Linked DNA regions of Cricetulus griseus. The protein of the gene in region 2 interacts with the protein of the main gene of each other region in a pairwise test. Links are inferred from orthologs where the notes say so. Each region holds a gene or a part of one and is shown on either strand. Other genes may lie near its edges.

Region 1 (3,629 bases), on a different chromosome or scaffold from region 2:
GTAGAGCCAGCTCTGCCAGTGTTTGAGGCAAATGAAAAGACAGGGGTGCATTCAGCTGTGCCCATGTGCCGACAGTCTTCACTAATGGAAGAAGCAAAAGTGTTCACTGAGAGTGTAGCTATTAAAAGAACTCACTTAAAAAAAAAAAAAAACCAGTGGGTAGCATTTCCTGTTTGTTTTTTGTGGAGATGAAAGGAGGATTTTGTTGGAAGTTATAAGAACAAAGCTCATGGAAATGTAGATATCCGTAAGTTATCTACACAATGGTTATAAGGTTATTGTCTTTCTTGCACAGATAGTTTAATAGTTCAGATTTTTTTTCCCACCTCTGTATCTCAAGTACCTGACAGATCAGGTAGGAGTGAGAGCAAACATCCAGACATGATGTGACTTGACAACAAATGAGAGAATCACTAATCCATTTGCTAGGACAGGCTGCTGGGATTTTGTTGTTGTGTAACAGTGTTGTGTTTGGATTTTTGTTCAATTCATGTCCCCAAATAGAGACTTTACTGAAACTATAAGTTAGATGCTCAGTACATATTAGTTGAATTGGATTAATTTGCTTCAGGAAGTCTGTTGTCACTTTGCATGTATCTCCCCCCTACCCCAACCCACTTCATTTTAACAGAACCAATAAGAGCTAACATAAAACAAAAGACTTAGGCAAAGCACATGTCAGCATTTGGAGAGCTGTTTGCTAAACTCCATATCCTGCACCATTTCTTCTCCAGGTGCCTTGCCTCATCATCCTCACATATGGTCTCTGAACTTCACTGCTCACAGGAACTGGATGACTTTCCTGCCTGTCGCCCTTATTAAATGGCTTAGTGCACTGCACTCAGAGCCAAGGATATCTCTGGCACTGTGTGCTGTTAGCTGGGCTGGTTGCGGATGGTTGAAAGAGATCATACCCGCTTGGCTTTGACCTTTCTGATTTCCAGCTGCCCCAGTTTTGTTAATGATAGTCATGTAAAACAGTTTTATGTGTGCACTGAAATTTGGAAGAACATGTGAAAGGGGGAAACTCCCTACAGAAGAGGAGGAAAAATAAAGGGAGAACAGTTTTGTAAGGAAGTATGTGACCTGTTATCGGGTGACACCCATACAGGATGGATGGTCAAGGTCCTGACAGGTTGTGTGGTGGAGAATTCTGCGGATGCTGTGGCTCTTCTTCTTTATCTTCTAGTGCATGATTCCTTTTCAGTTGTCAGTCAATCAATACCTGGCTGAAATCCAGTAAATATTTCAACTAGAAATTTAATCCAGTTGCCTATGCAGGGTTCCTGCTAATTAAAATTTGTGCTTGATTAATTATATGTGGTCCTCTGTCACTGCCATCATACTGTTATCACACATAACCACCAAAGTAGAAGAAGAGTAAGGGAACCATCTTGCTCATCCTGTGAAGCATTTGCTTGAATTTTGTGTATCTTCCCACAGTATTTTCTCTTGATCACATTTTTTTTTCTGGTTTTTCAAGACAGGGCTTCTTCTCTATGTAGCTTTGTAAACCTGGCTGGCCTCGAACTCACAGAGATCCACCTGCCTCTGCCTCCCGAGTGCTGGGATTAAAGGCGTGCACCACCATTGCCTGACTTGATCACGTTTTTTAAAATAGGTGACAAATCAATCACACTTCCTGTTATAAGCAGCAGAAAAGGCACACTGAGACCTGCAGAGTTCCTGGTGGATCTAGGCTAGGTTCAGAAGCTAAGTGTAGCGCTAGGAACAGTGACCCATATTGCATGTAGGTCTAGTCAAACACATCCGCCTCTGAGCAGCTCCCCTTGCCAACAAGATGAGACACCAGAAGTCTTGCTCTTTGAACTTGGTATGCTTCAACTGCCACTAGTAAGGAGAGAAAACAATCATGTTGGTAGCACTTAAAGTACTATGTAAGCATAGAATCCATATATAAAACCACACATGCAATTTGTATGGCACTTAGTTATCTACTCATCAGGTCTACTGACATTGTAGCCTCCTTTTGTTGAAAGCAAAGAGAAAACAAGAATATTGCTATTGAACCTTCCATGGTTGGCATCCCTAACCATTCCTTGGGCTGTTCTGTATACTTGTAGAACACTATCCCTGTGGTGGACATTAACACTGCCATTGTGTGTGACGGTAAATCTTTCCGCCTGCCGCTCGAGTTCTACCCGTCACGTGGGTGGCCAAAATAACACACAGAGATTAATATTAGGTACAATGCTGCTGGCCAATGATTAGGATTTCTTAATCTATATATTTTATAAAGACTTATCTGATTGGATGCCAGTGGCAGGTGTCTTGCTGGGATCACATGGCAGCTCCAGAGCAGAGAGGAGGAGGAAGCAGAAGAGGGTGACTTCCTGTTTGTCCCTGCTTATATTCTGAGTCTGCCTGCTACGTCACTTCCTGCCTGGATCAAAAGACTACTACATTTCCCAGAATCCTCCTTGACTCCTAGAGTCCCACCTATCTTTCTGCCTAATTGGCTGAACAGTGCTTTATTCAACAACCAGTAAGATAAACATGCACAGAAGGACGTGCCCCATCAATTGTGTATGTTAATAATCAAGTGCAGTTTCTTTTTAGTGTTTTTCTTACTTTAGTGATCTGCATCCGGACCCTCTGGGTTGTTTATAACCATTTTGGATGGCTCCACTCTGCTGTTTTGACCCTTGTGTTAATCACACAATGATTGCATATATTATTAGGAAGAGATGGTTTTAGTTACCAATAGGAAAATTGGACCAATCATTTTAAAGACAATAATTTTAAAGAATAATAAAATGTTACTGCATTGCTCAAATTCTGCATAACTATTGACATTTTTATATTTGTAGATAATATCCTTCAACAGCGTTTAAAAACTGCCATCAGGTTGGCCATCGTCCAGAAAAAAGCCTGTGTTTCTCACACCTTGGTATTTTAGTATCTGCTATATTGGGTGACACCCATCTCTCTCTGATTTGTTTTCTATAGCTGGCGTGACCTTGACAACAGATTGCCTTGAAGACAGCCGTCTTACATGCTTCTGGGGGTGCAGTGTCCAAAGGCTCTATGAAGCTCTTCAGAAGCACAGGTACTGCTTCAGGATAAGCACCCCACAAGCGTTAGAAGAGGCCCTGTACAGCGACTATCTCCACCGGGAACAGTATTTGTATCCTTTTCCCAGATACACCCACTGGCACAGAAACAGGAGGCTGTGGATACAGTAAAGTGTCACCAAGTTATTGACTCTTTAAAATATTTTTGTTCTTTTGGCAATTTGCCTTTACGTATTCAAAAGTATTAAAAAGCACAGCAAAGAAGAAATATATTGCCAATTACCGAGAGATACTGAAATTGAAGACTTTGGTCCAGTTCCCAGATCTCGCTATCCGTTGGTAGCTCTGTTGACCCTGGCTGATGAGGATGATCGGGAAATTTATGATATTGTAAGTAATTGAAGCATCTGGAATGCCTTACCTTTACCAGATTTGGGTGACTCTTAATTATTTTTGAAATAGGAAAAAATAATTTCTGAAAACATTTTTTTTGGACTTGGACACACATGTCTTGAAAATTTAAAACATAGATATATCCCTGTTTAATTTTTGTATCTGTAACACACCTTCAGAGTATGATGGTCCATCTCCCTG
Region 2 (4,376 bases):
AGACATTCACCTTCTGTGTGAAGGTCTCCAAGGACCAGGTGTTTTACACTGAAAAGCCAGACTATGTTTTTGATATTGTTTTTATGTGTATGGGTGTTTTGCCTATAGTATGTCTGTGTATAATGTGTCTGCCTGGTGCCCACATAGGTCAGAAGAGGGAGTCAGATCTCCTGGAAGTGGAGTCACAAACAGTTGTGAGCTGTCATATGGGTGCTGAGACTTGAACTTGGGCCTTGTGAAAGAGTACAAAGTGCTCTAAACCACTGAGGTCATCTTTCCAGCCTCTAATTTAGTTAATTAAAAAACAAATTCCTCCTAATCTAGGTGTGGTAGCACATGCCTGTAATCTCCACACTTGGCGGGGAGAGGGAGGAGATCAGGACTTCAAGACCATCCTTGGCTAGAGTTTGAGGCCAGCCTGAGCTACATAAGACTATGTCTTATGTAACAATAACAAAAATCCATCCTTATCCTAAAATCAACATCAATTTTCTTATAATTTCTATCGGTAGGATTTACTTAGAATTTTTGAGGCTATATAGAACATATCTTTACTTTAAAGCACTTCAACTTTTTTTCAGAAATTGAAACTAAATAAAGTGTTAATTCTCATATTCTCTGATACAGCCTAGGCACTAGCCAAGAATGATGTCATTCACTTGTAATCTAGTCCTCAGGAGTTAAAAGCAGGAGGATCAATTCAAAGGCATTCCTTACCCACTACATAGTCTGAGGCCAGCCCAGCCTGGGCTCACAAGACCCTTTCTCAACAAACAGGGCTGCAGGCTGTAGCTCAGTGTTAGAGCACTTTATTCAAATCTCAATGGGTGGGGGACTAAGGAGGAAAAGACAGTTACTGTACTAGGGACAGCACCACTGATGATAATTTCCAAATTCTATTTTCCTTCCTACTAAAACTACTGTATCGCTCACTCATCTTGTAATGGTGGCAGAGGGATAGGAGACAGTGTCTCACGTAGCCTCTGCTTGCCTAAACTTGGCATGACGCTAAGTCTGGCCTTTTAACTCCTGATTCTCCTGCCCTAAATAAACATCTACATAACAAAAGATACCATGAAAACATTAAAAAGGCAAATGACATAAAAATGTTTACCATAAAAGCTAGATGTAGTAGTATATGCCTGTAAGCCCAGCACTCAGGAAGTAGCTTTGAACTCGTGAGGACCTTTCTGCCTCTGCATCCAGAGTGCTAGGACTGTGGAGGTGTGAGCCACCATGCCCAGCTTTGACAACTGTTATTGTTAGACTGGTTCAGCCTCCCAAACTCTACCGTGAGCAAGATATGGAGTACCACGACCACAATGAAATCTGTAAGAGCCCTCCATTTGTCGTCCTTCTCAAGGCTCTATTCTCATGTTAGTTGATATTCAAAAATTATATTTTTGTATGTGGGTGTGGGCTTGTTTGGAGATCAGAAAGCTCGTAGGAGTCAGTTCTCTCTTTCCATCATGTGAGTCCTGGGGATAGACCTGGCAGCAGGGCCTTTCCCAACTAAGCCACACACTGGTAATTTTGAAAGGAACACCACAATTTAGGTAAGCCCTACAGGGTCAAGAACTGCCCTAGAATCTAGCCTATTTATCTACCTGCCCCAGCTTCCCAATAGCAGCAAGTGTGCTTAGATTAGATTCTGACCTCAGTCCTTTTTCAAGTTATTGAGATGAAATAAACTGAATTTGCCTACTTGGGTCATGTAATCCCCCTCTAGTTTTGTTGTTGTTGTTGTCATTGTTGTTTGCTTGCTTGTTTTTGTTTGTTTGTTTTGTTTGTTTTTTGAGACAGGGTTTCTCTGTGCAGCCTTGGCTGTCCTGGAACTCAGAGATCCACCTGCCTCTGCCTCCCAAGTGCTGGAAGGGGCCAGGCTGCCCCTCCAGCTTTTACTCCACCAATAGGAACCTTACCTTTGTGAGAGGAAGTGCTGAGGGCAGACTAAGCCCCTCCTTCTCCAAGAGCTTCTTCTCTTCCTCAGTCAGCATCAGCCTAGAAATCTCCTAAGGTTGTAGGAAATAGTGGAGAGCAAAAGTTGCATGGGGATGTGGGAGCAGAATGGGAGGAACCTTGGCCTCAGTCGAGAAAGGTGGGATAATCCTGAAAACTCAAGTCCAGTACCTGCTCTGTAACTGTATCCCCCACAGGCATTGGAGTCACGCGGAACCCCTCCTTTTCAAAGCTCCCAATATCTGCAAAGTAGGGAGAAAAAAGTAGGGCTAGCTAGGCCAGTGAGCTCTTTCCTCCCCCATAACTTAACATTCCACACTCACCTAGATCTATGGACACATGTTCCTGTGGGAGGGAGTAGTTGTGGTCATGTCGAATAGAAGAGATGGAGGAGCTGAGAACATCCAGCGATGCCGAGGGACTGAGCAGAGAGCTCAGTAAATCCTCTACCTCCCAGTCGCTCAGTGCTTGCACAGAGTTCTAACAAATTCACAGGCCTTGATTTATCTTTGTACCCTTGGGTCTCACGGACGTCGCTTAGCTTCCCCACTCAGAACGCCCACCCACCTCGGAAGGCGGCAGCTCCAAGTCCAGCGGAGCCTCCACATCCTGCTCGGTCGCAGCCCACAAATCTCCGTTTTCCTCTAGCAGGAAGCCCAGCAGGTCCTGATCACCAGGATCCAAAGCTAGAAGGTCCTGACCACCAGGATCCATTTGGGATATCTATAGATAGAAATCCCTGTACACAGATGCAATCTCCGAACCTTAGACACGACCCCTCGGTCTGACTGTCAAATCGGCTCGACTTACCTTAGTCACTCTACTCCGGGCTACAAGGCTGAAGGCCTGCGGTCACACTAAAACCACAGCCACCTCCCAGCTTCTGTTCTACTCAGCTTCCAACACAACGGAAGTGATGCACATAGCCCCAAGGCATCCTGGGACTTGGAGTTCCTTCCAACTCGGAAGTGGCTCGTGTGCTGCGCCACGTCCCGGGGGCTATGCAAATTATAGGGACGTCCCTACAGCTTCCCACACCCCAGGGCGGGGATTCTAGGGACCCGGCTCCGCCTTCGCCGCGAGCTAGAAAAAGGAAGAGTCTAAAAGGGAACACCAGCTTGGTTCGGGCGATCTCTCCAGCGCGCCGCACCCTCGCTTCCTGCCGGGGAGGGGCGGCCAGGCTTTGCGGGCGCCCGAGCATCGAGACCTGCGGCTAGAGCAGCTTCCTGAAGTCTTTGCGACCATAGAGCGCGGGCCCAGGGCGCCGCCGGCGGGTGGGAGACATTTCCAGGACGGAAGTGGACCAGAGTGTCGAAGGGAGGGCGAGGCCGGAGCCCCAGAGCCACCCGGAGAACGAGCGGGTAGCGGGCCGGCGGGCGGGGCGCAGAGCCGGGCAGCGCAGGTAGGCCAGGCGGGCCGGGCCGGAGCTTCTAGGTGGGGCTGCGGGGCCAGGCCAGCCCGGGAAGCGGCGGGCGGGGCCCCCGATCCTCCTGCATATCCTGTGTCCGGTCCTGTTGGGGAGGTCAGCGTCCAATGCGTTTCGTTTTGGGTTTGGAATTAAGCTAGCCGTGTGTCGCGAGGCAGGCCCCTTTCGTGGGAGCAGGCTGTTCTCTCCCTCGACTAGGTTTGGGGGGGAGGGTGAGGAATGGGGTGGCATTGAGGCACTGGGCGGGGATGGCCTTTGGTGTTAGCAGATAGTGAGTATGTGGTTAGGAAAGCTTTGGGTGAGTTTGGGATTAGGTGCGGTCGGGTTTAGGAAGTGAGGATCCCTTCAGAGGTTACGAAGCTCGAGTAAATTTTAAACATTAGCTGCTTTAGTCAAGTCTGTTTCGTGTAGGTGACATTTAGTTTGAGGTCATTATTTTGTTTTCTGGAGGGATCAGCATGATCAGGATACCGAATCAGGTTAAGGATCAACCACAGGAATTGGCTTAGAAGCCCGTTTAGGTACTAAAGGCCATTGTCAGGGTTAGTATTAAGAATAAACAGTGAAAAGGTGAATTAAAAGCAAGTAAAAAATGAGCTTTAGGATTAGGAGTCAGTATTTAGGGTAAAAGTTGAGGGATTTAGGCCTAAAATTAAAAGCTGGATTAGTATGGGTGTCTGCTATGAAAGAGATGAAATGTCAGAATGGGGAATTAGGAAAGAAATTAAAGTCAGGATTAATGTTAGGAATTGGTGGCAGCATTAGGGGTTGAGGGTTGCAGCTACAGTTGAACAGGTAAAAAACATGAGAAGTTGGCAGCAAGTAGCTGCCTTTGTTTTGGGGTGAGGTCCCTTATTGCTGTGTAATCAGAGAGGCTTCTTTTACCCAGAGACGACAGACTAACTTCAGGCCACAGTCCTGGGCTTCGGCTAGAACTGCTGACATCTGGGACTCCACTTTCTTTATTCTACTGCCTAAGCCCAAGACTTCC
Region 3 (4,253 bases), on a different chromosome or scaffold from region 2:
CATCCATACGTCATATGGCAACAAAAGGAGTGGAGTATTGATGCATGCTGCAACGCAGCTGAACCTTTGAAACATTTCCTTCAGTCACAAAAAGCTAGCATCGTCTGTTCCACAGACAAACGCATATTGACAGAAAGTAAAATATTGGTTGTGTGGGTATGGCGGAGTTGGAAAGAAGAGGGGCGTTCTGGTTTGGATGTGAAGCTTCTCCTCAGATTCCTGCTTTGGAGGTTTGGTCCTGATGTGAGCAGAGTTCAGAGGTGGGACTTTTAAGGAAGTGACTGGATGCCAAAAGCTCTGACCAAACCAATGGATTTGCTATATTGGAAGGGGTCTAGTTAGGGGAAAGAGGCCACTGAGTGCATGCTTGGGAGAGATGGCTCTTGTTTGCACTCTTGTTTCTCTCTCTACTTACTGGCCACTATAAGCTAAGCAGCCTTCTGAACTATGTATCCTATGACATGTCTCACCACAAGCCTGTGGGCTACATGAACCATGGACCGAAAGGACTGAAACCAGGGGTCAGAACAGATCTTCCCTCTTTCAAGTTGTTTCTCTCGGGTATTTGTCACAACGATGAAAAGTCTGAGTAATGTAGCTACAGAGACTGTTAGTGGGTTTGTGGTTTCTTCTTAAGATAATAAAAGCCTTCTAAAACTGATTTAATGATGGTTGCATAACTGTGAATATATTAAAAATCCTTGAAATAAAAACTTTTTAGAACAAGCCAGTAATATGCTATATAAACTAATCTTAATAAAATTCATGCCTTAAAAAATTTCTGATTTATAGCTGAAGAGAGCGCTTGCTGCAGAGGACTGGAGTTCAAATCCGGGCATACTCTTTGGATAGCTCACAGCTGCTTGTAACTCCAGCTCCAGGGGATCCAACAGTCTTTCCACAGGCACCTTCACACACACACACACACACACACACACACACACACACACACACACAGAGAGAGAGACGAGAGAGAGAGAGAGAGAGAGAGAGACAGACAGAGACAGAGACAGAGACAGAGACAGGGACAGACAGACGGACAGACACATAACTTTTAAAATCAGTCTGCTTCAGTTCTCAAAGGACTTCTGTAAGTGAAGGTATCAGCTATAATTTCCAGGATATATTTGGCATTTTAACTCCCACACTAAAATCTAACTCAAATTCCTTGGATATTATCATAAATGTGTTTTTTTTTTGCTTGTTTGTTTTTGTTTTGGGGTTTTCCTGGTTGACTCAATTAAAGGGAATCCTTAAAATATTAATGAAGAATGTCAGTGCAGAGTTAGTGTGGCTTTTCCTTCCTTACCTGGGGCACTCGCTGCCATCTTACTCCACCCTTCTAATCTCTAAGGTCTTTCGTCCCAGCTCTGTCTAGCTCACCCTCTAACATTCCCAACACTCACCCCAAAGTTCCAGTGACTGATAATGTCAGTGTTGCTCAAACTAAGTGTGTCACTCCCTAAAAGCAAGCAAAACCTTTTAAGAAGAAGGGGCCTTTGATTAGAATCCAGGCCTTTCTCAGTCATAGGACCTCTGAGTTTCTGTCATCTAATAGCGGGACCCTTCTGTGGCTCCCTCTGCCTCATTCCGGGAAGAAAAAGCATTTATGGGGAGCTGGTTATATTGTAGGTAACAAGAGAACATCCCCTGGGGGACTTCTGGCCTTTCCCAGGTCCCGTCTCGAGTTATCTGACAGGAAGACTAGTTTTGAACCTGATGTGCATGTACCAGCTGTGTCAGCCAAGGACGACACTCTCCTTTCCTCTGTGTAGGACAAGAGTAGTGAACCAGCCACAGTTAATGCCCCTGTTCACATCTCCTAACCTCACCCCCACTTCCCTATAGCAGTGGGGGACAATTCCCTCACTGCTCATGCTTGCCACCCCATGCCCTCTCTCGCCAGGGCCATGGGAGCTCCTGTGGCCTGTTGACATCCATCTCTGAGGCAAGCCAAGGTACCAAAGACTCCCCCTCCCCCCTTTCTGGCCTCAGAGACCGCTTCAGGGAAAAGCTAAAATAAGGTAAGTGTCCTTCCTGTTGGGAGTGCAAAGGTCATTATGCTCATAGATGGCAATAGGGAAGCCAGGAATGCTAAACACACAGGGTTGTCTTTTCAAGAAGCCTGTTTTCCACCCAGAAGGCTGGGGATGGGGTGGCCAATAGCCTAGGTAACCCTGTGTTATCTATAGGGCCAAGCCATACCTCACTCCCCCAAGTTCCCTCAACCAGGAATGGAGGTGATTAATAATCTAGGTGACCTTTGCACTATCTGTATGGCCAAGGGGTTCCCCCAAGCTCCCTCAACCAGGACCAGAGGTGGCTAATAGACTAGTTCACTTCTGTGCTATGTGTATGATGGAGACCACACTAGAATCTCTCCCAGTCCCTTAAAATACCACATGCAGCTTATCTAAAGAGCCCATCTTCATGTACTTTGAGTGAGTTTTGGTGTAGTCACACAGCTTTGTGCACACGGGGTTGTATTATACCAGGAAAATTTTTTCAAGTTACACTGTACTCAAATATGACTAAAATAAATCTGCCTGGTGTCAGACTCTAGAAGTTTGAACCAACACCAGCTCCTGGGTCATGTTGAACCGTATTTCCTTCTTGCCTCACACAGATTGTTACTCTGCTACCTGTGACTGCAGAGACCCCCACACTCCCCCAAGGCTTGCTTTGGAGATTAAAGAATAAAATGAACCTCTCAGTGTGATCAAAACAAAGAGAAACCTGAGTTACCACACCTTTCTCAAGGAAAATTTCTCTTGCACTGGAGGAGACGGGCATTTCCCAATACGGTAACTTTGTCCCTTGGCTGCAGTGAAGAGGCCTGCCAGGGTGGCCAGGACCAACAGCATTGTCACCATCTTGGGTCTGGTGTCCTCAGGAGAGGCCTGGGGAGAAACAACACAGCTGGAGATGTCTGAGTCTCCTGAGGACACACAGTGATGAAGAGTTCTGGAGGGCCTAGTCCCTCAGCTGGCACTCTCCTCAGCATGGAGGAGGAGCTGCGTCTTGCAGCTGCTGTCAGCCTGGCCATCCAGCCACAGTGAGGCCATCACCTCAGAGCACTGGTTCCTCTTGATCTCTTGCTAGATTAGCCTCCTTCGTGGACCCACACCCTCCCATGTCCCATTGAATATTTCTCCAGGTAAGCACCCTGTCCAGTTTCCCTCAGAATTATCCCAGAATCTTGGAAATGTCAGATTCAGTAGGTATTTGTTTCTGGAACATTAACAAAAGTAATGTTCCAGAACAAAAGTAATGTTCCAGAACAAAAGGGAATAGACAAAGAGGTACACCAGAAGGTCAAAGGGTCTGTGAATGAGAAAGCTCAACTCCAAATCATGCACAACATTAACGGTCCTATGAGACTCATAAAGGAGTGCTCCCCAGACCCCGCATTTTACTCTTGCCAACATCTTGCTGGGCTGTCCTATCAATGCACTCTTGGTCCAGGGGCCTTAACCAAGAGCAGTATGTGGGGGACCCAGGATTACTCAGATGGGGTTCCAATTCTGGCTCTGCCACCTACTAAGTGTAACTGTGCAAGTTAGACCTTTGCTTCTTAGCTTATAAAGTAAGATTAATAGTCATGGCCTGTCTCATGAATCTTTGTGAAAATGAAATGGGATAAAAATAAAGGCAGGGGTGGTGGTGAAGGGGTCTATTAGAGAGGCTTAGGTGGGACAGCTCTGGAGTCCACCAATTCAAGACCAGCTCTAATGACATGGGAAGACACCTCCTCTCAGAAAGAGGGAGAGCTGGGGGAAAGTATAAATGTTCAGAGTAGTGGCTGACACCAAGCAGGTGCTCAGTAAATTATCTATCTATCTATCTATCTATCTATCTATCTATCTATCTATCTATCTATATATCTATATATCTAGATATCTATCTATTACTATCACTATTATCCCTGGCTAGACTAGAACTTGCTTTGTAGACTGGGATAGTCTTGAACTCATAGAGATCTCCCCGCCTCTGCCTGTGAGTGCTGGGAATTACAGAGCTGCTGCCTTGCCCAGCTGAATCCTAACATTGTTATTAAGAAGAGCAGAAGCAGGCCAGTATTTCCCAAATGTTTCCCCATCGCCGAGGGTGTTTTTCACAGCGGATGTGCATTGAACCACAGGAGGCCTGTCGCCTAAGTGAGGAATGCAACATTATTTCAGTACAGAAGTCCTCCAGTGGCACAACTGGCTCTGGGGGGTGGGGGGAGGGGGGGCAATGGATAGATAGGGGAG
Region 4 (4,227 bases), on a different chromosome or scaffold from region 2:
GAAGAACTCTAAGACCTGGGGGAAGCCACCTTCTAAATTAGAAAAAAAAAAAAAAAACCACCAAAACAAAACACACACACACACACACACACACACACACACACACACACACACACACAAAAGAAAAAAGAAAAAGAAAGAAAACCCAAACAAACCCACACCAACCTGGGAGCCCACCTACACTTCATGACAAAGTTTCCAACTAGAACTCTGTTCGGAGACTCCTGTGACCCCTCTCTTGATTCCTACATGGTGCCCACTGCCCTGCCTGTGCCCAGGCATGGTTTTGCAGACGGGGAAAGGTTTTTTTTTTTTTTTTTGGTTGTTGTTGCTATTTTGAGTTTCCATGGAAAGCAAGAAAGGAAAAAATATTTTTCTGAAAAAGCAGGGTCTGTATTGCCATGTGGCTCATGGAGAGGCTGAGTGGTTGGCACAGGCAGAGGCTGGGCAGGCTGGCGGCTGGTAGAGTCATCACCAGGCTTCCTCTCCTGAGGCTGAAGGCTGTCACAGGCTCCATGTCTAAGCTGGCAGCCCTGCATGTCAATCGCAGGACTGTCGCAACTGCAGGCCAGCAGGCTCCAGCCAAGGTGCTTTCTCTACAACACCACTCTTGAATATCGCTGTATCAATCAATTAATAGTTATTTACAGAGTACCTTGTGAGTACAAAGCACTATGGGGAAATCAGCAGAGATGTAAAAAGAGCATCTTGCATCTCTAACTCTTTAGTTACTGTTGGGCAGCCCTAGCCTTTCACCAGACAGTGAGGGTCTGCTCTTATCTGAAAAGAGGAGAGCACCCCAAGATGCTGGCAGCAGAAGTCAAGGAGAGAATGCAGAGCAGAGGTGTAATAAGGAAAAATCCAGGGGGATTAGGCCAGAGGCCTTCCTGGGCAGGTTCCTTCTCTCCTGTAGGGCTGCTTGAGAGGGATGTGTGCTACCCTGGCAAGGTTACCTGGCTATATTTATGAGGGCTTTCCTCCTCTTCGTCTCTTGTTTCCCAGAGCCAAGTCCCTGTGTGACTGGTTTCTTAAGAACTATGCAGGCCTGCCTTTAGTGAGGGCTCTACCCCCTGGCTACTCCCATGTGGAATAACTAAGGCTTCCCAGCCCTTAGAGAGGACACTAACGGGGTAATTTATGGGGCGGCTAAAACAGCTGGCCTCAACTGTCTTTTGAAAGGGTTTTTAAAAGAAGAGGCTGATGTGGAAACATGAGATGAAGTCATGCTAAGGCATAACATTATTTATCTTTAAGGGTGGAATTGCAGGTGATGCTTCCCTTCTGTCTTCTAAGGGCTCTCCATCAATTATGCATCAGTCTTCTAGGCTTGAAAAAAATAGCTTTCTGAGAAGCATTGCATACTAGCTTTTTTGTCCAATATGGGAACTGGAGAGTCTTCTTGAAGGTGCCAGCCTTGGGGTCCCTGGCTATTATGTGCAGGGAGGAGCACTGTCCTCGGTTAAACCTGTCCCTAGAAATGCCTGGGGCTGCCTGGGATGAGTCTGCCCAGCAAACCTCACAGGCTTCCCTGCTTTCATGCCTCTCTAGTGCCTTAATGGAAAGACAGTTTCCAAACACAAAGCAAAAATCTATTGACGGAGGCCCTGGGCCCAAACCAGCAGCCACCACACAGACTATGGAGGAGGTGACTAGTCTCAGGGACACCCTACCACGAGGCCACATTTTTGGAATCTCTGAACACAAACTCTAATTTATAGCTGTCTGGATCATCCTCCCAGACAGAATCCATTCGTCTAGTTTTGGCACAGATGTGTTTGAGGCATAATGGAAAATGAAAAGAGAGGTTGCAATTTAGAGCCACTGGGCAATGGGGAAAAAATCTGCGCTTGCTCATCCACATCCCCAACCCCAAACCACACACAAGGCTTTCCTCCTTGGGTCAAGGAAACTGTGGCTTAGCTGAATGTCTTCACTGTGTGGCAGGGAATCCTCCCCGAGTGCTATGGGCTGTGTTAGGGACGTGTGGGTAAGCAGCTGGCCAGGGCTTCTGTGAGGAGAAGCAGAATGATCTCTGCTTCAGAAGAAGGCACAGCAGCAACTATGTAACTCTTCTGCCCTTCTGAATGCTCCAGCCCTGTCAGGCTCATGAGATTCCATGTTTGTTGCCCTTGAGGTTGGTGTACTGCACACTAGAAATTGCTCAAGGGGGGAAAAAATCACACTAACTCCATCCCAGTCAAGAGCAAAGGAAGCAAGCTTCCCGTCACACAAGGTTCTTGTTACTATGTGCATTCCCTATAGCTGGAAGATGTTCTCCCCCACATTTAAGGGAAGCTTTCAGTCCTAAATTTTAACTCAGTAGAGCCCCACGTCTCCCATGTCACACTGCTTTTAATTTCAGCCCATTTTGCATTTAGACATACTGTATCTACATTCAGCTAAGGCTGAAGCAAGCAAGAAAGGAGAGCACCCCACCTCTATCTCCATTCACTGATTTTTCTTCCTTGTGCTTTCAGTAACAATCAACCATGGCCCAACCCAGGTCAGGTACTGAGCTCCTTATCAGAGGCATGTCAGACAATCACATAAAGGAAGAGAGGCATTAAGATGTGGCAGCCGTGCTGAAGAGGAAGAACACACGCCACCAGGGGAGGACGCAGAGCACACCACCTGTGGGCAGTCATCCCCATTCCGAGTTAGATCCTGAAGAGTGAGGTGGACCTCTGGAGTAGCAAAGAAATCAAGGGCTGAGAAAGCTTGAGGCAGAAGGAACAGCACAGGGATAAGAGTCTTCTCTTACCTCCATGCTATGCTGAGGAAGAGACCAGGGTTGGGGAGCACATTGCATCATCGTCACATGAGTGCAGGACAGCCATGGCATGGCCTGACATCATCCTGGGAAGGCCGCTGCAGGGCCCCCCCGGGGAGGGGAGAGAGGAACTTAACTCATCTTTCGGTGGGAGTGGGCAGGAGGCTGAATGTTGCTTGGCTGCCAGTGAGCAGCCACAGAAAAATGCTCAGGTGACTGAGGAGCACAGTAGGGATGACAAGGAGGGGTTTGGAGACCCATGAGGGCCGGGGAGAATCACTATAGCAGTGAAGGAACATTGTTGTGGCCTTTCTCCTTCTAGGGGAGGGATTACCACCAGTGTACCTAGCAGGATTATAGGAAGCAATGCTGTTGCTTTTAGAGGAATGGACTTTTGTTTTCACATTAGTCATGCATTGTGTGTGGGTGAGGGGCAGGGCATACACATGCACATGCCACAGAGAGTGTGTGGAGGCCAAGGGACAACTTTTGGAAGTCTGTCGTCTCCTGCCACCTCGTGGGTCCTAAGGATTGAACTCAGATTGTCAAACTTGGTGGTAAACACCCTCATCCACCGAGCCACCTCACTGGCCTAGGAATGGACTTTTCATACAACAGAGTGAGCTGAACCTTGGTGGTAATTACTAAAAACAAATGAGTAAGAGCACTAAAACCCAAAAACCAACAAACAAAAGGCTTAATGGAACATCCATTATGATCTAGGAGGCAAGGATTCAGATGAGAGGATGAATTAGCACTTCTGAAATTTTCTGGGTCCCACAGAGAAGCCACTGGGCGAGAATCTATTCAAGGCCAGCCTGTCACAGACCCAACTGCTAGGTGGTCTTGTGGGTCAGTTATACACATGGCATTCCAAAAATGCAATGAGAAAGAAAGCTGGGTGTGATAGTGTGTACCTGTAATTCCAGGATTTAGAAGGCTAAAGCAGGAGGATTACTGTGAGTTATGTAACTAGCCTGAGTTATGTAACTAGTGCTAGCCAGCCCGGGCTACATTTCAAGTGCTAGGCCAACCTGGGCTACATGGCAAAACCCTGTCCCCAAAACAGCAACAAAAAATTAAAAGAACTGGAAAGTGATGGCATTCACCTTTAATTCCAGCACATATGAGGCAGAGGCAAGGAGATCCTTTGTGGGTTAGAAGCCAGGCTAGTCTACATAGTAAGTTCTGGACCAGCAGAACTAGCTATACAGTGAGACTTTATCTTAAATAGGAATAAGAAAATCAAAAAGAAGGAAGAAAGAAAATGTTATAAGACAGCGTAGGTTTGGGGACCACAAGTGAACTTACTGCATAAACACACACGAAGTAAAAGGGGGAAATGGGGACTGAAACACAGTACAAGGAACAGACAGGGCCACAAAAACCCATCATTAAACAGGACAACCACAGATATTATCATGGGCAAGTTATTTCAACAGCTACCCCTGGTCTGG
Region 5 (4,338 bases), about 300 Mb from region 2:
ATGAAGGGACACATGGCCCTGGACAAACGGGGCATTTATAGCCACAAAGGCAGAAGACAGGCAAGCATTCCTGTTCAGATCAGCAAGCTTATTCCTAGAGAAAAGACCTTATCCTAATGGAGTAATCACTGCAGTAAAGTACCCAAACCTCTGGAATCTTTGTTCAATGACCTGACATATAGGGCACTGGCCACATGCTCAAAGATCATCTTCCCCTTTGAGCTAGAGAGATGGCTCAGTGGTTGAAAGCACTTGCTACATAATCATGAAGACTAGAGTTCAGATCTCAGCACCATGTAACAACTTCAAGAGATCATCTTCCCCTGCATGTAGATCAAGGGTTTTGCTTGACAACTGGATAGAGTACTTGTCCCAGGCAAGAGAATGGAGACTTTATTAGCCTCTGGACATCTCTACCCAGTTCTGCTGAGAGACATTTCACAGCTCTGATTGACTGGAGACAGACTTGAAGACATCAGAAATATAAAGTGTTTGCTGGTAATCCCGGCTCTACCTCAAAATCTCCAGTTGCCCCCTCACCAGAAACTGAGGTGGGTACAGTAAATCAAATCAATGATCCATTAAAAGTGTTTATTTTTATACAGCAAGGGGAAAAGGACTAACACAGTCAACTTTTGGCACCTTTCCAGTCCATCCCCCCCATGTTCTTCCCAATACAAAGCACTGGCAAGAGGGGCTGCAGAACAGTCAGTCACAAAGTCATACAGGTGGGTAAGTGAGATTCAAGAGTCCATTCCAGGCACCTTGCCCTGGAAAAATCAAAGCTCGGGGGCATAGGGCTCCCCCGTGGGTGAGGGCACCCGCAACTCAGCATCATGTCTGACCACCGTGAAGAGTCCCACCACTGCCAACAGAGTCATCACCATGACGGCAGAACATATACTGAACATATTCCTAGTGCCCGTTTTTCGATCACTGTCATGTAGGACAAGGAGCCCTAGACAGGCTAGTAAGTGCAGGGGCACTCGGAACCAGTTGAGAACCCCAGCCTGCTCTGTCTCGGGGATCACTTTTCTTCGAAGGAAGCTCATGCTGGGAAAGTAGAGCCCACAGGCCAACTCAATAAGTAGAAAAGCGATGAAGGATTCCACGGGATTTTCTTGGCCCGGGCTGGTAGAGAAAGTCAACATGAAGAGAGAGAAGACAACAATGAGGACAGCAAGGGAAAGTAAGTGCATGGGTTGAAGGTGGTACCTCTTGGAGGTAGCAATTCGGTACAGGGAAGAACCCAGCAGGCTGGCAGCCATGAAGCTGGAGAACACAATGCCCAGTGGGGCCCCATGTGGGTCCAGCACAGGAGTCCAGAGGAAGACAAAGATGAAGATGACACTCTCAAACAGGGCTTGTATGATGCCCAGCAGCAACACACGGCGGTCAGACAGAAGGCAGCGCAAGCCTCCAGCACAAGTCTTGGAGAAGGCACGCTGACGGTCATAATTCTCTCCCCAGTTTCGAAGGGCCAAGGCCCCTGCCAGAGCCAGAAGAGGGATGGCAGCCACAAAGGGTGCTACAGGTCCCAGCCCCATCCAACTAGCCACAGCCTCAGCTGCCACACCTGCTGCCACGGCCAGCACATGGTTCCAGAAGGCAGCTCTGGCAAAGGTAGCTGGGATCCACTCGGCAGGGAAGTCATGCCGTTCCACGTGCTCATGGATGTACCAGGCCTCAAAGGCTGAGAATAGGAGAGCAGTAGACAGCCCACCAAGTGCTCGGCCCACCAGCAGCACAAAGTAGTCTTGAGAGAGCTTGGTTAAGCAACACAGAGAGTAAGTGAGGGAGAAAAGGACACAAGACTTCTTACGACCCAGCCAGTCCACAAGGGAGGAGGCCACCAGGCCAAAGAGGACTGTGGAGGCAAGGCCACAAACGTAGAGGATAGCAATCTGACCCTCCAAGAAGTGGTAATGCTGATAGAGTTTATATAGGTAGGGGGCTTGGAGCCAGTCTGCTGCCAGGGCCAGAAAGTAGACTTGATAGAAGTCTAGTTGAAACTGAAGGAAGGAGGGGTTGCTGCAAGCCCTTCCAGGGGGCTTGGCTCGGCATCTTGACAATTCCAGGCCCAGGCAGGAGGCCAGGAGGCCCACAAAAGACAAATAGGCAGTCACCAGCATGGTGGGCCCCCGGACGACCTGGGGAAGAGAACACTGGTTATAGTCACATCCATAATCCAGGTAGCACAGCTCCACCCAACTCCAGTGTCAATTCCACTCGCCCAGAGCTGAGACCGGAGGGACCAGTCGGGTGGGTGGGAGGAGTGGTTGTCACCTAGGACTCTGTGGGGCAGGGAAGGGTGAGATGGGGGAGAGGCCAGAGCACTCGCCCCACCCTGGCCTGGCACAGCAAAGTGGGACTCCTTTCAGTAATCCCGGTCCCGCAGGTTATAAAGGGGCTGCTGCCCTTCCCCACGATAGCTTCTGCACGCTTCTTCTGTTACCTCCCATCCTCGCCGATGAGCCAGTCCTGGAGCTCAAGCGTCTCCACATCTATCCCGAGCATCCCTTCCGCCCGCGCAGGGCCTCTCCAATTGCTTCACGGTCACGCGCGTGCATGGCAGGTTCCCCCGACCCTGGGTCACGCTAACCCCCTGCGCCCCCTAGCCCCAACCTAGCGTCCCTCACCCGCTCGCACTTGGCCCGGCTCCCGTCTCACCTGCTGCCCCGGTCTGCGGGGACGCTCCGGACACGTCCGGCACCAGGCCGCCGGGCCGCCCTCCCCGCACTGGCTCCGGCTCCGTTCGGATTCTAGCAGCGCGCCCGCCCCTCACAGCCTGCTTCCGGGAGCCGGGCTGGCCCGTGGCCGCCGCCATGATGGCCCTGTCACGTGACGGGGGCGGGTTGCAGAAAGCCACGCCCCTCCGCCTTACCCCGCAGGCCCTGGCGCTGAAGAGCCAGTGGGGAAGGGGCTGCAGCTCGTGGCGGTGGCTCTGGGGCTGTTTCGCTCCTCCAACCCACGGATACCTGCGGGGTCATCCCAAATGAAAACGTATTTTCTCTGTTTTCCACCACGGGGTACCTCGGAAGGATGCCTGCAGTCCCTGAGAGCCAGCGGCTACCTCTTGCTAATGAACTCCACTGCCCTAAGCCCAGGCTACTCCAGGCATCTCCCTTAAAGACCTCCCAGGCCCGCAGTCAATGTTGTCCAGACACCTGAGGGAGGCGGTGTGGTGTAAAAAACTTGGACTCCCGGCTGCACATAGATTGAGGTTCCAGTCTTACCCAGCACTTTACCAGTTTAGCCTAGCCTCCCTACTTCTCCCTCCGAGTCCCACTTTCTTTGTGTGAACTCATAGGAGAGCAGCAGCCAGTGCCCACATGAAGAAGGCTAAAGGTTCAGTGAGAACGCAGAGTTTAAAACTGCAGTCCTGGAGCTCAATTCCCACCTCCTTCTACCTAGGAACTGCTTTATCTTGGGATGTTTGTTAAGTTTCCTTCAGCCTCAATATTATGTCCTGCAGCCCCCCAGTGGCTTCCCTTTTCACTAAAGATGGCAGTCAAAATATTTCTAATGGCATACAAATGCATCTGTCCCAGGGCTTTTTGCTACTTCAATGACCTCATCTGCTACCACCCTGCCTACTGGCTCCCACCTGGGCCTCAGCACATTACTTCCTGCATGTTTTTAGAGAAGACTGCCTACCAAGGCATGGTGGCTCATGTACTCCTTGTACTTGGAAGGCTGAGGCAAGAGAATTACCTAGAATTTAAGACCAACTTAGGCTACATAGTAAGGGCTAGACAAGACTAGACAAGAATGAGACCCTGTCTCAAAAAATAAATTTCTAACAACAACAACAACAACAATAATAATAATAATAACGCCTAGAGAGAATTCTCAGTGATTAATATATAAAGAGAACCTGCTGTTCTTGCAGAGGACTAGAGTTTGGTTGCCAGTACCGACATCCAGTATGTGATTCATAACTATCTGTAACTCCAACTCCAGGAGATCTGACCAGCCTATTCTGACTTGCGAAGGTGCCTGCAGAAAGGTAGTATGCATACAATCACATAGGCTCACACTCATAAAAAAGTAAATCTTTTGTTTTTTTTTTCGAGACAGGGTTTCTCTGTGGCTTTGGAGGCTGTCCTGGAACTAACTCTTGTAGATCAGGCTGGTCTCGAACTCATAGAGATCCACCTGTCTCTGCCTCCCGAGTGCTGGGATTATAGGGGTGCACCATCACCGCCTGGCTTAAGTTAATACTTTTTAAAGATTCATTATTATTATATTGGTTTTTCGAGACAGAGTTTCTATTTAACAGCCCTGGTTGTCCTGGAAATCACTCTAGACCAAACTGGCCTCCAACTCACAGAGATC
Region 6 (3,881 bases), on a different chromosome or scaffold from region 2:
ATGAAACCGTAGGCTCACCAGGAAAAAAGACTGCACTCACAAACCCCCAGTGTTTTCCATGGCTCATGGCTCCAGTCCAAGCATAGCAAATATTTACCAAAGAGCCCTGCAGGAGGGTCTCATACTCTTTATTGTTTCAGAGTGTGTGTGTGACTCAGGGTCCATCTCACAGCCCACCTGCCTCACTTGCTGATGTCTAGCTTGCCTCTAATTCAGTAACATGGCAAATCTCCTCAGTGTGGAGATCTTTTTGTATTTGTGTTTCTTTTAGTTGGGATCTCTCCAAGAAATAGGATTACCGGCCCCAAATGTACACACTTCTTTTGTGTGTTACAGAACACAACTCTGAGGTCCCCAAATGGAACACAAGTCCACACAGTCACTGGTATCTGAGTTCCCATCCTCTTTGGGTGGCATTGACCAAAAGAGTTCTAGACATTTTGCATGTGAATTTGATAGCAATATAGATAGACATCATCTTGACTTTTCTTTCAAGCTAGCAGGCAATTCTTTAATTTTCACTTTGCTTTCTAATTTCTTTGTGAACGGGAGGAGTAGAATGTCCCCGTGGTTGTGTTTGCTAGTTCAACTTTCCTGTGTGTAAATTGTCTTCTTCGGTCTCCCAATACATGATCTCCCTCAGCTTTCCACAAAACAATGAATCCTCCCATAACCTGGGCCTTTGTTACAGTGTGGACTGTGTTTCTCAGGCAGTCAGCCAGGACGGATTTTATGCTCTGAGTGTTCAGAACTTGAATATCTAAGGAATGAATGTTCCAAGGTGTAGGTAGGATAAAAATCCCACAGCTCGCTTGAAACCCCCTGGGCACTTCTGGCAATATTCCAGAGTCAGGTTAAATTATAACCAAAGAGAGAGTGAATGTGTCTACTTACTAGCAATGATACTGCTAAACACAAGAAAGTCCCTGTGGCACCAGCTTACTGTCATAACCAACAGTCAAATCCAGAGACAACAAAGCTTTGTCCTCCAAGGACATCCAGGTCCAGTCTCCTACAATGCAAATTTTAACGTTCCTCATCTGTGTGCTTTCTGGAAATCCTCCTTTCACATTTTACTACGGGGGGGGGGGCATAAAATGAGGACTTTGGCATCCCTCTCTGTGAGTTTATCTTTTTGTTTTTCTGAAAACTGATTTCTTAAAAAAAAAAATTGAAACTGACTTAAAATGACTATTTGCCCATCACAAGTTCCAAGAAATAGCAGTTATCCTTCAAGAACGAGAAAATTGTAGTTACATAGTGAATCATCCACATGCCCAGATGCTGACAGTGACATCGTAGGAGGTTTAAGATGCAGAAATTATGACAAGAATATTGAGTGCTCAGAAAGATGCTCACAAGATGTGAAAAACTTTCTGTGACTCTCTGATTCTAAGGCCGAGGAAGAAAGATGTCACTATCGTGGGTCATTTGACTTAGGCAAAGCCACATTAGCAACAATTGACTCCTCTAAAAATTGAAACCAGGAGAGGTCAGGGTGTTCAGCTTAGCATAGCATTAGTGGTGTTGAGCAGCAGGGAGCAAATTAAAAATGGCTGCTGTTGAGAAAGACAAGAAGATTTTTGTTCAGAAGTGTGGCCACTGGCACACTGTGGAAAAGGGAGACAAACATAAGACTGGACCAACTCCATGGTCTGTCAGGCTGCTGGATTCTCTCACACAGATGCCAACAAGACCAAAGGCATCATCCAGGGAGAAGATTCCCTGATGGTGTATTTGGAGAATCCCAAAAGTACATCCCTAGAACAAGACACACGGGTGTGGGCCTAGGCCCTATCCCAAAGGATACGAAAGACTCTGATGACACCCTATGGAAGGCCTCACCATCCAGGGGGAGCAGAAAAGATATGTGACAGATAAGGTTTTAGTTGGAGGGATAGGGGAGGACAGATGGGAGAAGGGAACTGGGATTGTCATGTAAAACAATCCTGTTTCCAATTCAAATGAAAAAAGTTGGAAAAAAAATGATCTTTGCTGGAACTAAGAAGAAAGAAGAGAAAGTAAACCTAATGGCTTAACTTAAAAATTTTACTAACATGTAATACCACCTGCCTTATTTATTACAAAAAAGTCTCATGGCTTTTAATGTGTGCCATAATTTAATTCATACATCAGAACTCAGATCATGAATGGCCAACAATGTTTTGTGTTGGAAAGTCCAGATTTAGGTAAAACTGACTGGTGGTAAAGTGGATATGATCTCTTTTAAAATAACAATTCCAGTTGCGTAAACACTGCTCTCCCCCAATCAGTAATATTCAACTTTCTACAAAGATGGTGGTGTCACTGCAAAACCAATTGGATGGTCTCATACTTAGATTTATGAAACTGGGCATATGGATGTGTTTAAATACTGGGGAAATGCTCTTACGGCCTTAGAACCAAGCAGAAGATGTCTGTGCTTCTGTTTGTGTTCACTGGCCTGTTACAGGCCATGGTTAAACTGTCTATTCTTGACAATGCCGATTTAATTAGGATGCCCTTTGTCAAGGATGCTGCCTTTTATTGCTGAGAGGTGTGGTTTATGTATGATATCAAATAAAGAGTGTTCTTAAAAAAATTGAAGCCAGGACTGGGGAGATGGCTCAGCAGGTAACCGTGAGCACAGTATGCATGAAGACATGAGTTTGAATTCCCAGCTCCCACATAAAAAGCAGGGTATGGCTGTCCACCTGCATCTTAGTGCCAGCTGAGGTGGAGATAGAATGATTGCTAAGGCTTGCTGGCTGCCAGCCTAGCTCCAAGTTTAGTGAGAGACTTTGTCTCAAGAACTAAAGCAGAGAGTGGTGTCCTTGGGCCTCTGTACACATATGCATGGGCATACCCTCCTGCTATCGTGAAGCTCACATATGCAATTGAAGCCTGCAATTGTGACTAATCCAAGTTCATTGATGGCTAAGTCATTTCATTCTTCTTTGCATTCCTCCATGAGCTGTAGACTTCAAACATCCCTTGAAATAAACTGGCAGTGGACCTGCTGGAGAACTCTTATGTGTGGCGTGGGAGGAGAATAAGTCATTGGGTCTTGATTTTATGGTAACTAGGTCAAACCGAGCTGCTGCTGTGTTTTCTCCCTTGCAGGTTACCTTCTCCTCGGACTCATTGCCATGTTGGTCGTCCTGGAAACCTTCTGTGAACTCCATGAGCTGAAGAAATTCAGGAAAATGTTCTACGTGAAGAAAGACAAGGATGAAGATCAAGTTCACATCATGGAGCATGACCAGCTGTCCTTCTCTTCCATCACTGAGCAGGCAGCCGGCCTGAAGGAGGATCAGAAGCAAAATGAGCCTTTTGTGGCTTCCCAGTCGCCACCCTACGAGGATGGCTCTGTGAACCACTGAGCGTGGGCCATCAGACCCCGGACATGAGGCAGAGCCTTGACTGTGTCCATTTTTACAAGAAGGTTGAAGCCAAGATGATGTTATTTTAAGAAATATCTACTGTTAACAATAAAACAGGGAACTTTGGGCTCTGGGGGTGGGTGTCTAATCCCTGGGCAAATGAGATGTATACCTGTAATTCAAAGAAGATGCAGTCACCTGGACATCACACACTGGGGACAAATACTTGAAGCAGTGTACTGCAGTGGATGGAGGCAGATTTTATATGTAACTGGGGACTCTCCGTTTGCATTCCAATCATTTTGCCGACAGCTAAATAGCAACATTTATATTTAAAAACAAACAAAAATCTATAGAGATGTATTTTATAAATAGGTTTACGTGTCCTGGCTTGCATGTGCCTATCCTAAATGATTATTTTTGTAGAGTCTAAATTAATTCTATTTATAATGAATAAGTTACCATCCACTGTGTACATAGAACATATAAATATGTTTATATCCTGTATATATGTGTAGG
Region 7 (3,629 bases), on a different chromosome or scaffold from region 2:
ACACCGAGAGTACTGCAGCTTAGTTAAAGGAATATTAGAGCTGGGCTCAAAGGCTAACAGACAAGGGAGCAGGGCTGGGAGCATCTACAAGTCAGTCACTGTGGTCCTTTTAACACACATAAATGACAATTCCTTAGGTAACCCTTCCTCTCGGAACTGCAGAAATAACACATAAGGTCAGATAAATGAAATTATTCCTAATATGTAAGCTCTATGGAGAACTAGGATGCCACACATTTGCTAAATCAAGTATCAAAGACAACACACTTAGAAAGAAAAAAGGTTGTTTTCTTTTTTTTTAGATAATGGTTTTAATGGAATTAAATGAGATGAAAAGACAGTGAAGCCCTGTTTGCTACTTACATGAAAAGAAGACTTTAAAAAATAATCACTGCACAAAATACAAGGGGAGGGCTATGCTGTGGCTTTAAATTTCTCCCCATGCTTTTCTTGACTGCTCAAGAACAAATTGAAGTTTCCACAACAAAGCTGTTCTCGAAATGCCGAATGGCAAAACAGTTACTGGCTTCACGCTTCTGAATACCTGTTGGGGAAGACAAAGGGTTTGGTTTTTAAAGGTTTTGTTTGGTTCTTCAGTGATAACTACTCACATTAATTCTCAGTTTCTCTTTAAAGAAGTATGCCACGCCACATCCACCCACAATTTCCATTCTTTAAAGCTGTTCTCCACTGCATCTTTTCAGACACCACAGCAACTGGTAACCGTGCTTTACAAACCGCTTGCAGATGTATGAGCGTGAAGGTTTGGGGAATGTCCTAGTTATGTGTGTTGCACACACACACACACTCCCATGTGTGCTTGCAGAATTGCACACCAGGACAGTTGGACATCATTCTAGCAAACTGGTTTTAGAAAATTATGAACCAAGATAGTAACTTATATGTAAGAAACCAAGTGGTGGGTTTCAGATGACTCAGCAGCCTGAGCTGAGAACAATGTCATTACAAGTTATGAGAAGAGGCCAAGAAAGCACTTTTACTGGGTGATGTAATCCCCAAGAAATCAGACTGCAGTGTCGCTGATGGCACTGTGGACTTTGTGTATCATCGCACACACTTTTGTTTTGCATTTGTAATGGGCACATGCTGCTACTCTTACTGTTCAGGGGGAAAAGCAAGGCTACGTGCCTGGCCAAAGCTGCATGGTTATATCAATGCTCTGGATTCGTCACCTACATTTCTTGCTAAGTCACCTGGCTATGGCTTGTCCTCAGTATGATCCAAAAGGTGGATGGCCCCGTGAGAATTCAGATCCCTGAGAATCCAAGTGAAATGCTGAAGAGAGACCTCTGAATAATGAGACCCCCAAACCTGACTTTTCTACATGCAGGTTGATGGGTGGGCATCTCAAGGCAATGGCATTTTGTGCTGACTGACTTTATCTGGGAGAAGTGGCTCTGGGATTAAGATGATTCTAAGTTCTGGAAATATGAGTCAAGTGTGACTCAGTACCCCTTTCATTTCTCATCTGTGGCAGCAACATCAATCACAATACCTAAGTGCCATAGGAACTATGCGATTGTCTTTACCTCTAATACTTTCTCTGCGTTGCAGCTTGTAGGTTTCCTTGTCATGACACAGTCGATAAATGAAGAAGCCCAGGTGGTCCACGTTTTCGATGCGGTCGGTAATCACCATGTGCTCATGAATAAGGTATGACTGGGGCAAGTAGGTTCCAGCCTACAGTGGGAAAATGTGATGCAAAACTTTCAAAACACAAACTGAGCAAACAAGAAAGGCAGACAAAGCCTCGGGTGATAGTTTTAAAATGGGGTTTGCGAATATTTTTCCATTTTATAGATCTAGTTTTGATTTTTGAATTGGGGTCTCACTTTGTTGCCCAAGCCAATCTTCATTCAATTCCCGAACTCAGATCATTGTTCTGCCTCAACCTCCCAAGAAGACAGGGCTGTGTCCAGGCACGTGTCACTGTACCCAGCAATACAGTTTTGTTACAATTCAGCCATGCCCATCACTGAGGCATCAGAATTAAGTAGCTGGTTAATATTTATTTTCTAGTCCTTCAGGAAAATTTAAATGTGATGAAAAAAATTTTTAATTTTTTAAAAATTTCCATTTTATTTATCATTTACTATGTGCATGTGTACAGTGTGTGTGCATGTGTAGTGTCTCTGTGTCAGTGTGTTTGTATTATAGTGTGCATGTGTAGTGTTTGTGTCAGTGTGTTTGTATTATAGTGTGGATGTGTAGTGTCTCTGTGTCAGTGTGTTTGTATTACAGTGTGGATGTATAGTGTCTCTCTGTGTGAATAATATGTGCATGTGTACTGTCTCATGCATGTGTAGTATCTGTAATGCAGTGTGTGTATGTACAGTGTATGCAAGTATACTGTCTCTGTGTGTGTGCATGTGTAGTGTCCGTGTGTGCACTGTTTGTATATGTGTAACGTGCACATGTACACAGTATGTGCTATGTGCAGGTGCATGTGTATAGAATGTGGAGGCCTGAGCATGGATGTTGGGGATCACTTTCTGGAGCTGCTTCTTTCCTCCCACTGTGGGTTTTACGGATTGAGCGCACACTGTCAGGCTTGCATAGCAAACACTCTCACCGGCTGGGCTCTCTCCAGCCCATTTTGAATGCTTTAAATTTTTTTCTTTTTTTCTTCTTCTGGTTTTTTGAGACAGAGTTTCTCTGTGTAGCCCTGGCTATCCTAGAACTAACTCTGTAGACTAGGTTGGCTTCAAACTCACAGAGATCCATCTTCCTCTACCTCCGGAGTGCTGGGATTAAAGTCATACGCCGCCACCACCTGGCTAAAAATGTTTTTAACTTCAAAATTTAAAGCATTAAAAATTAAACATAGCACAAGTGTCAGCACTTTGTTGTAAAACCCTTGGCTACACTCCAGGAGAGTGAGCTCCGAGAAGGCTAACTTTTCAAAGAGGAATTCCATGACACAGTAAACACTTGATACCTTGATGTTAATAAGTAGCTCCAACAGGTTTCTGGGTGGCATAACGATGGACGTGTTCAGAGGAATCACGTAGCACTTGTCCAGGTTAAGGTCCAGATAAGCAGTGAGTTTCTGGAGAAAAGATATATCTCAGTCAGATGAGTGTACTGGAGATACATAGAATGCTACTGGCAAGATGGGCCCACTTTAGAATTTATAAGTCACTTGTATCTCAGTAAGAACTGGGTGCGGTCAGCAGGCAAGCCACAGACAGAGAGGTATGGGAAGGCCAGGCCTCAGAGGGAAAGGAACCTAAATCTATTTTTGTTAACCCCATGAGACAGCACTTCACTGTGTGGACCAGGATGGCCTCAAAGTTTTGGTCCTCCAGTCTCAGCCTCCCCAGTGCTGGCACAAGACACATGCTCTGAGTCACCAACTCTCCCCATCCTCTCTCTTAAGTACCAACTAAACCCTAGATAGAAGAATTTAGCAAATATTAAAACTGCAAATACCCTGGAGAGCCCTATGCTGTCCACAATCCTGGACACAGACAGGCTCACCTTGTTAAAGTCATGCACAATGTTGGCAGGGTCACTGTCTGCAAACTCTGGAACAGGCACACTGATGAATTCAACCTCATCTTCCTCAAAGATCTTAATGTTCTCTTCAATTGTCTGATAGCGAGCAG

The links.
Region 1: the proteins of Creb3 (region 2) and Cgrrf1 interact in a two-hybrid assay, tested with the Homo sapiens proteins (2 studies listed by BioGRID and IntAct). The two-hybrid records come from large-scale screens. The link is inferred for Cricetulus griseus from reciprocal best matches to the Homo sapiens genes CREB3 and CGRRF1.
Region 3: the proteins of Creb3 (region 2) and Apod interact in binary tests that used the Homo sapiens proteins (3 or more experiments, as listed by UniProt). The two-hybrid records come from large-scale screens. The link is inferred for Cricetulus griseus from reciprocal best matches to the Homo sapiens genes CREB3 and APOD.
Region 4: the proteins of Creb3 (region 2) and Tspan2 interact in a two-hybrid assay, tested with the Homo sapiens proteins (2 studies listed by BioGRID and IntAct). The two-hybrid records come from large-scale screens. The link is inferred for Cricetulus griseus from reciprocal best matches to the Homo sapiens genes CREB3 and TSPAN2.
Region 5: the proteins of Creb3 (region 2) and Mfsd5 interact in a two-hybrid assay, tested with the Homo sapiens proteins (2 studies listed by BioGRID and IntAct). The two-hybrid records come from large-scale screens. The link is inferred for Cricetulus griseus from reciprocal best matches to the Homo sapiens genes CREB3 and SLC61A1.
Region 6: the proteins of Creb3 (region 2) and Kcnk1 interact in a two-hybrid assay, tested with the Homo sapiens proteins (2 studies listed by BioGRID and IntAct). The two-hybrid records come from large-scale screens. The link is inferred for Cricetulus griseus from reciprocal best matches to the Homo sapiens genes CREB3 and KCNK1.
Region 7: the proteins of Creb3 (region 2) and Itm2b interact in a two-hybrid assay, tested with the Homo sapiens proteins (2 studies listed by BioGRID and IntAct). The two-hybrid records come from large-scale screens. The link is inferred for Cricetulus griseus from reciprocal best matches to the Homo sapiens genes CREB3 and ITM2B.

What each region holds. Positions count from the first base shown.
Region 1 is NW_023276807.1:202,871,086-202,874,714, forward strand, and holds part of Cgrrf1 (cell growth regulator with RING finger domain protein 1), read left to right. Parts: intron 1-2,970; coding exon 2,971-3,148; intron 3,149-3,277; coding exon 3,278-3,425; intron 3,426-3,629. UniProt on the Homo sapiens protein: Able to inhibit growth in several cell lines.
Region 2 is NC_048595.1:99,953,643-99,958,018, forward strand, and holds the start of Creb3 (cyclic AMP-responsive element-binding protein 3), read right to left. Parts: upstream 2,930-4,376; 5' UTR 2,770-2,929; intron 2,683-2,769; 5' UTR 2,674-2,682; coding exon 2,527-2,673; intron 2,440-2,526; coding exon 2,283-2,439; intron 2,202-2,282; coding exon 2,131-2,201; intron 2,013-2,130; coding exon 1,923-2,012; intron 1-1,922. UniProt on the Homo sapiens protein: Endoplasmic reticulum (ER)-bound sequence-specific transcription factor that directly binds DNA and activates transcription. Plays a role in the unfolded protein response (UPR), promoting cell survival versus ER stress-induced apoptotic cell death.
Region 3 is NC_048597.1:58,142,574-58,146,826, reverse strand, and holds the start of Apod (apolipoprotein D), read right to left. Parts: upstream 2,888-4,253; 5' UTR 2,874-2,887; coding exon 2,751-2,873; intron 1-2,750. UniProt on the Homo sapiens protein: APOD occurs in the macromolecular complex with lecithin-cholesterol acyltransferase. It is probably involved in the transport and binding of bilin. Appears to be able to transport a variety of ligands in a number of different contexts.
Region 4 is NW_023276806.1:54,211,368-54,215,594, forward strand, and holds the start of Tspan2 (tetraspanin-2), read right to left. Parts: upstream 2,872-4,227; 5' UTR 2,843-2,871; coding exon 2,762-2,842; intron 1-2,761. UniProt on the Homo sapiens protein: May play a role in signalling in oligodendrocytes in the early stages of their terminal differentiation into myelin-forming glia and may also function in stabilizing the mature sheath.
Region 5 is NC_048595.1:398,659,248-398,663,585, reverse strand, and holds Mfsd5 (molybdate-anion transporter), read right to left. Parts: upstream 2,844-4,338; 5' UTR 2,671-2,843; intron 2,580-2,670; exon of another isoform or gene 2,456-2,579; intron 2,151-2,455; 5' UTR 2,133-2,150; coding exon 780-2,132; 3' UTR 575-779; downstream 1-574. UniProt on the Homo sapiens protein: Mediates high-affinity intracellular uptake of the rare oligo-element molybdenum.
Region 6 is NC_048596.1:202,840,278-202,844,158, forward strand, and holds the end of Kcnk1 (potassium channel subfamily K member 1), read left to right. Parts: intron 1-3,102; coding exon 3,103-3,362; downstream 3,363-3,881. UniProt on the Homo sapiens protein: Ion channel that contributes to passive transmembrane potassium transport and to the regulation of the resting membrane potential in brain astrocytes, but also in kidney and in other tissues.
Region 7 is NW_023276807.1:227,861,309-227,864,937, forward strand, and holds part of Itm2b (integral membrane protein 2B), read right to left. Parts: coding exon 3,502-3,629; intron 3,071-3,501; coding exon 2,960-3,070; intron 1,702-2,959; coding exon 1,551-1,701; intron 545-1,550; coding exon 459-544; 3' UTR 1-458. UniProt on the Homo sapiens protein: Plays a regulatory role in the processing of the amyloid-beta A4 precursor protein (APP) and acts as an inhibitor of the amyloid-beta peptide aggregation and fibrils deposition. Plays a role in the induction of neurite outgrowth.